2 linked regions of the Caenorhabditis elegans genome follow. The protein of the gene in region 1 purifies or fractionates together with the protein of each later gene. This does not show direct contact. Each region holds a gene or a part of one and is shown on either strand. Other genes may lie near its edges.

What was found.
Region 2: the proteins of col-49 (region 1) and T25D10.1 fractionate together in Caenorhabditis elegans (co-fractionation; one large-scale study listed by BioGRID). This does not show direct contact.

Annotation. Positions count from the first base shown.
Region 1 is NC_003279.8:3,135,336-3,139,136, reverse strand, and holds col-49 (Cuticle collagen 49), read right to left. Parts: upstream 1,953-3,801; 5' UTR 1,929-1,952; coding exon 1,670-1,928; intron 1,319-1,669; coding exon 726-1,318; 3' UTR 690-725; downstream 1-689. Other genes in the region: K09H9.8 (uncharacterized protein), read left to right, coding at 475-540. UniProt on the Caenorhabditis elegans protein: Probable cuticular collagen-like protein. Nematode cuticles are composed largely of collagen-like proteins. The cuticle functions both as an exoskeleton and as a barrier to protect the worm from its environment.
Region 2 is NC_003280.10:6,401,672-6,405,689, forward strand, and holds T25D10.1 (uncharacterized protein), read left to right. Parts: upstream 1-1,729; 5' UTR 1,730-2,019; coding exon 2,020-2,188; intron 2,189-2,233; coding exon 2,234-2,400; intron 2,401-2,471; coding exon 2,472-2,571; intron 2,572-2,617; coding exon 2,618-2,747; intron 2,748-2,795; coding exon 2,796-2,869; intron 2,870-2,913; coding exon 2,914-3,020; intron 3,021-3,070; coding exon 3,071-3,307; 3' UTR 3,308-3,369; downstream 3,370-4,018. Other genes in the region: btb-2 (BTB domain-containing protein), read left to right, coding at 334-428, 476-818, 868-1,018, 1,060-1,337; spp-11 (Saposin B-type domain-containing protein), read right to left, coding at 3,769-3,933, 3,978-4,018.

The sequences.
Region 1 (3,801 bases):
AAATCCCTAGCCAGTACATCTAGTATACAATTCCTTACAGTAGTCCTATACTACACCCTGAACTTTTATTATACCTGCAATCTGTTACAGTACTCCAACACCCGTATGACCACAGTCACCCACCTGAATTGTTTTTTCTACGGTATTTTTATCCTAATTTGCAGGTACAGTTCTGTAACCACAGTATATCCTTCCTACCGTAGTCCTTCAGTACCCGCTCCCTTCACTGAATAATTCCTTGTCCTCGCTACAGTTTACAAACAACCGTATGTCCACAGAAACCTGCACTCGTCCTCCTACAGTAGCTATATCCTAGATTGAGACTACAGTATTCGTACCACAGTACACCTCCCTTACAGTAGTCCTATCGTACACCCTCCACTCAAAGTTCCTCCTTTAGAGTACAGTAGTCCGTAGCTTCCTTCTCCAGTAGTTTTATTCTATCTACAGAACCCCTTTACTTCAAAATTTCAGGTATCCGCAACCGAGGAGAGCAAGGGTCTTGAAGGAGTCGCTCAGAAGCTTTTGCAGCCAGTTTAGATAACATCTTTTTAAAAGTTTTTCTAGATTCAAAGAAGAATAAACGTTTTACTAGCATGTAATTACAGTGGGAATAGACGCCACTCTAACTATTCTAGCTCTGGCAAATCGGATTTTCAGATTTCACAAATGCTGATTTTCAAACATTTCCAAGAAGAATAAATACTTTATTTACACTTTTCGAATCAAGCAGTTCTAGGTGGGCAAGTACAGTAACCCGCGTCTTCTCCTTCCTTTCCACGTGTCCCTGGTACTCCTGCAACTCCGTCCTTTCCACGTTTTCCTGGTCTTCCGTTCTCCGCCTTTCTTCCAGGTGCTCCAAGAGCTCCATCTTTTCCATCAACTCCTGGCTCTCCTTGTGCTCCAGGCTCTCCAAGTGGACCCTGTGGTCCTGGTCTTCCAGCCAATCCGACAATTGCGATAGTTCCTGGTTGTCCGGCTTGACCTCTTGGTCCAGCTCTTCCGGCGGATCCTGGTGGTCCTTGATCTCCAATTTCTCCAACTGGACCAGTTTCTCCTTGATCTCCAAGTGCTCCACGTGGCCCGGACGGTCCCTTGTCACCACGTGGTCCGAGTGGTCCAGGTGGTCCTGGTGGTCCTGGTGGTCCTGCTGGACACTTGATGCATTCTTTAGGATTTGGCATATCATGAATCACGACGTCTCCATCCACACCGTTGTCACCATCAACTCCATCGGGTCCCGGTTGTCCTGGATTTCCGAGAGATCCCTTCTCTCCTGGTGGTCCTGCTGGGCAGTTCTTTGTTGGCTCAGCGCAATCTGGAAAATTTGAACTAGGAGCTTAATTGGCGAGAAAAAGATGGCCTAAGCCTAAGAACAAGCTAGCAGAAGCCTAAGCCGAAGCCTAAGCATAAGCCTAAGCCTAAGCCTAAGCCTAAGCCTAACCTAAGCCTAAGTATAAGCTTGAGCCTATGCCGAGGCCTAAACATAAGCCTAAGCCTAAGCCTAAACCTAAGACTAAGCCTAAGCCTGAACCTAAGACTAAGCCTAAGCCTATGCCTAAGCCTAAGAACAAGCTAGCAGAAGCCTAAGCTTAAGCCTAAGCCTAATCATAAGCCTTTCTAGACTTTCCAACGAATAATAGTTTCTTTTCAGAAAAAAGTTACTCACTGCACTGATCATTTCCGACGTTTCTCTTTCCTCTCACAAATTCCTTCAAAATATTCGTCTTCTTTGGAACATTTCTCGACGTCATATCGTTCAACCGTTGCCACGTGTCATCGCTGACCTCCTTCCAGTCTTCCAACTCATCACGAATGCTCAAACGAAATGAATCGAGCTCATCGAGCATCGAAACCGAGAAATAAATAGTGCAGACGCTTACGAAAAACGCTGCGGTCGAGACACTTCCAATTACGAATTTCCACATGATGATGAGGAAGAATGAGATTTTCGGAAGATATTCATCTCATTTTTATACTCACTATTAGAACTGCAGAAAAACGTTGTTCGTTGCGTTGTTCTCTTTGATGAACTGGATACAACAAGCGGCGGAGGAAATGTTCGGTGAAAAAAGTTCCCAAGACACGCCCGAATCGTGATAGCCATAATCACTGTATCTCTGACGAAACCGTAGCACATTTTTAATAGACCAGTTTAGAATCTGTACTGAAAGCCAAAACGAATTTTTGTCGTAGCTGCTCAAAACTAGTCTCATTCGATAGGCAATGTTATTTCCTGTAGCTCATTGAACAATTTTGCAAATTGAGGTGGAAAAACACTCAATTGTACTAAATAAAGAATTCTCTATCACGGGAACACAAAATTCTGAGAATGCGTACTGCACAACATATTTGACGCGCAAAATATCTCGTAGCGAAAAATACAGTAATTCTTTAAATGACTACAGTAGCGCTTGTGTCGATTTACGGGAATGAATTTCTTTTTGAATTTTCTCTCGTTTCATTTTCTTTATTTAAATATTCTTTAAAAAAATCAATTTAATCCGTTTGGAAAATAGAGCCCGTAAATCGACAAAAGCACTACATCAATCATTTTAAGAATTACTGTAGTTTTCGCTACGAGATATTTTGCGCGTCGAATATGCTGCGCAATACGCATTCTCAGAATTTTTGTGTTTCTGCAATACAAAATGGCACTATCTAAAATCGTTTTTAAAATTAAAATTTTTTTCAACTTTTTTTTCAGTACTGACTGGGGTTCATGACTCTCTGGGTTCACAGTATAATTTACTCGCTGGCTTCAGAGTAAAATATTTGGTGAACCCAGAGAGTAAATTATAACATGGTTTTAAAAAATCGGAAATTTTACGAGCTTCCGAAAAATAGTAAAATCACGGCTGTATCAATGCTAGTTTTTTTTTGAATATCGAAAAAAAAGTTTTTAAAAACATGTTTTATACACAAAAAAAAGTTTTGTATGATCAGTTCATTCGTTTGATTTTTGCGATAGCTTGTTCCATCATGGCAACGCCAAAAATTGTGGTTTGACGTCGCAAATCCTCTGGCAGTTCTTGGATGTTATTCAATGGCATCATAATCTCATCTTTTCAGCTATGACTGCTCGCGTTATTGCCTCAATATCGCCAACCTGAAAATATGCTCCTGTTGTACTAGTTTTTCAAACTCATGAATGAAAATCTGTACTAAAAGTTTTCTAAATTTCTAGCTACGAAATGAAAAACAAAAACTAACTTTCCAACTAAACCACAGTAAGCTACTTTTCCAGTAATCACCAAATCGGCTGGCATATTATAACTCACGCATGCCGCCCACATGCCCAAAGCGGCCGCAAGCTGGGAAGTGGAACCTTTAAGCTCCGGATGATTTATATGGAATTGAACTTGCACCAGAGTTTTTCGGTTGAAGCCCGGCTGTACCCACATATGCTTTAGAAAAGCTCCATAAGCAGATCGAGTATAGTCCCTGAACGCTTTGCTGGTTTTCTTTTAAATGTGCAAAAAAAAACATTTTTTTACGTGAAACTCTAGCATTATGTGGAAATTTTATGAGAATTTTAAATTGAAAAAAAAACGTTTTCAAAAAATCCAACATGTCTTCTATTCTCTTCGCTAAAAACACTGCGGAAACAACTGGAAATTCACAAAAATCGTAAGAAACGACACTCCGATATCCCGCCACGATCTAATGCGCCACCATGAAAAATTAGTGGCCGATGTTTCTCCATTCGCGGCCACGCTGGCCTAGAAACATCAAAAACTCGGCCAGGGATTTATCTTTGATTATACATGGCGCATTTTTCTGAAACTTAACGATAATGTT
Region 2 (4,018 bases), on another chromosome or scaffold:
ACCTCTGCGGTTCCCGTGAAGTCCCATCGAGATATGATTTTTCAAGCGGATTCTTGTCGCTAATAGTTTTTAAAGCTTGATGATCAACTTCCACGAATATGCGAGACACTTATTAACAAATTTTCACTTATTACTGTAAACTAAACATTTCAAAATTAATAAAAAAAATTTAATTACAGGCCATAATAGCGTGACACTCGTTCTGCGTACATCTGGCTTTATTTCCACGTGTCCCACGAGTTTTTCTTCCTCTTCAGTTTTTGATCAGTGCTAATTGTTTTCGTTAGAATTTGAAAACTTCGAAACTTCGAAACGAAACTACTTCGAAAAAAAATGAAGATAAAATGTGTTGAAGTCAACAGCGACAAATATTCGATTAAATCAGTGCTTGGAAAATTCTGTGATACAAACTGTGGAGGAATCAATGTGTGAGTTTCAAGATTTTTCCACTTCGGCTAATACAATACTTTTTCAGCTCATTGTTTGTCTCAGAAACTACTTCGAATAAGTATAGATTTGAATGGGAATTAAAATGGGACGAATTGAAGAAGAAAGGGGTCAAGCATTTGTTTGGAACAATCACCCCGGAAACCAACGACAAGTTGGTTCCAAGCATTGATTTTTCTGTTGATGAAAAACGCAGCACATCTAATTTGGAAACTTCTAAAGACTGGTTGTACAACATTCCTTTCAAGTACAAAATTTTCTACAAAGAATCCGATTATTCTGGATTAACTTTGGAAGAACTTTTCAAGCCATCTGAAAGGAATGATGCCGTTTTAGTGATCGGAGGTACAAAGATGCATGTCAATAAAGCTGTAAGATGTTTTTTTGCAGTTGCAGTGTCCTATATTTATAATTTTCCAGTTGCTGAGCTTCCATTCTGAATATTTTCGAGCTCTGTTCTCCTCGAATTTCAAAGAAGGAAAGTTGACTGAAATCCCAATGTATGAAGTTTCATATGAAGATTTCTCGAGAATGCTGGCAGTTTTGTATGGAAATGAAGCTTTATTGAAAGGTGATCCAATCCTTCAAACTAATATGAATTCATTATTTCAGATGATAATTTGGAAAAGATGTTGGAGCTGGCCGATCAATTTCAGGTGCCACGTGTAACGGCTCATATCGAGACTCATTTGTGCCACTTTTCGAAAATGAAGCAGGATCAATTGATGCGTTTGGCAGACAAATTCAATTTGCGTACAATCATCGAAAAGATTATCAGTGAAGTGGACACTACTCAAAAAATGAAGAACCTCAAGAACTCGGCAGTGTTCTGGAATTTATCAGATGAAACGAAGGTGCTCTTCCTGTATCGTCTCATGCAATTGATCTAAAGGATGGTATAGATTGAAGTTTTTTTATTGTATAATTTATGTATTTATTGTATTTTCGTGGTATAATTATGGAAGAATAAATGCATCGCATTTGAAAGTTTTTTTATACAGATTATCTCTTATTCAAAAAAGTTACATTTAACTAGTAAAATCTAGCCAGAAATTTAAGATCGTGTAGAACTCAGAAGATATCCGAAATCAGATGGCAGTGCTGAATACTGCTCATAACTATTTTTGTTACCTTTTTTTAAACATTGGTAAATATTGGCTTGGCTTAAAGTATGGCTTATGACGTGAACCAACATTGAAAATGGACGAATATTCTGGAAATTGAGTTTTTTTAGATAATAAAAAACGCTGTAACTATATATAAATAAATGTAATGTTTGTTTAAAACACCTTTTCTTCCAGTGCTACACCCTTTTATTGATCTTTTGTGTCAATATAAGTAGACTCTTATCACTTTGAACTTGTTCACTGACATTCTATTCACCATGACAGTCAATTCTTTATTCAACAATTTTACTTTTTTTTAAATATTAAACTTGCATTATTATTTTTGAAGTGAGTTAGTGAACGAAAACAAACAAAGACCCTCCACGGGTACTCACTATCAGTACTACTCACGTATTTGGATATTTTTTGCGGGGATTTGGAAAGCCATTTGCAGTTCCAACCAACTATGTTCTTAAGAAGACGTAATTTAAATTCATCAAGAATCATATGCATCATATCAATTATCGTGCTTCTTCTTATAATCATTTCACTATATCCTCATAAGCGGACACAATTTGGAAGATATTCTCGAAGACAGAAGACCATTCGATTTCAGCATAGTACTGGAGAAATAGGCAAGTAATCTTTTAAATCATACTTTAAAATAAATTTCCATTTAGGCGATCAATTATTCTCTCTACTTTCTCATCTTGGTGTTGCAAAAACTCTTTATCGAATTCCAGTTATCAATTCTGCTAATAATTCAAAATTAATCGATACTCTTTCAAACGCAATGTTTACAAGATTTCCATCGATTCTGCAACAATTTTTAATTGCTATTGAACCAGTAAGTGCATTTTTATAAAAATTTTCACAATTAAATGTATTATTTCAAATGATGATAAATTTGATTTTTAGCCAACAGCAGTGAATAGAGAACTTGGAATCGAGAATAGTTCGTACGAAGATCCTCTTACAAAGTTCTCAGAGGACACATCTTCAAGTCTGATGGTCAAAGGTTTGAGTGATCAATATAGTTTGGAAGTCTATTGTTTTTTATTCAGGGAACGGATTCAAAAGTTTTAAATATTTTGATAATTTGCGTTCTGACATTCGCTTGTGGGTATTGGAAGACGCCGAAAGTGTTCTAGAAGCACAAAATTTGATTACAAAATCTCAACGGAACAACTTCAAGTAAGCATTTTGATCATTTTAAAATTTATTTTTATTTATTTATTTCAGAATTTGTGTGCATGCAACATTAGAAAGCAATAAGAACTGCAGTGTTAAAGCAATTGCACAAATTCTGAATCATTGTAAATTAATTGAAACTTGACCATTTTTAGCCGTTCGTTTTCAGATACCAATGAATATGAGGATGTTATGTTGATAATTGCTAGCCCGTTTCCGGAATTTACTCGTTTCATTTTTACGAACTCGAGAATCAGAAAATACAAAACTGAAAAAGTGAGTTTAGTAAGTACAAACTTTCTTAATAATTTGTTATCATTTTTCAGTTTTCATTGATCAGTTCTTCACCAGAAATGCAAATTATTTTTTCAAGAATCTATTGTGATGTTGTATTCTTGACAGTTCCATATTCAACACATGGATGGTGGATGGGATATTTGGCAAAAGATGACAATAGCCACGTGTTCTATTTTGATCCAGACATGTTCCCGAAAAATAGAACGGCGAACCAAGAAGACTATTTCCCGCCAAAATGGAAGAAATTGTCAAGAAAAATTCAATGATCTCGATTTATCTTGTACAATAACTAACTTTTGTTTTGAATAAATAATTCATTAAGGCTGTGTATATGCAGTTTTCAGGAAAAAAAAACTGTTCAACGTCGATCACATTTTACTCACAGCTTTTGAGCCAAAAATTGAAATTAAATTTCCACCCAGAAGAAGACAGCGTCAGAGCCAAAAGAACAACCAAAAATCGGCAATTTAATTTGCCTGTATACAAAAACACGGATGTTTTTAATGTTTTAAGTCAGCTGAGTTCATAATAAACTTGATAACAAACGTGTCTTAAACTTCATCAATTGATTGTGCAAGTTTATAGAAAAAGATATATGTATCTTGAAAACCAAAAAACACGTGCAGGGTAACTAGACTTCAATTTTTGGAAATATAAAAATATACTACTAATATGTTTGTATTAAAATAATTTTATGAGAAACAAGTTGATAATTGACAGAAAACAATTATTTACAGAAAGGTACGTGCTTACAAAATGAAACTGGTTCAAGATTCTTCTTAAGTCCATCGAATCCCTTGAAAATTGTGTCCATAATATTTCCTTTGAACATAACACACATGGTCCCAACTGTGAGAGTTTTCGGATTGCTTGTTAAAGACGTGCAGAGTTTCTGTAAATATAATAGTGATTACATTAGTGTTTGATTGAAAATACCGTAAGGAATTTATCAGCTTCCACTCTAAACTTTTGTATAA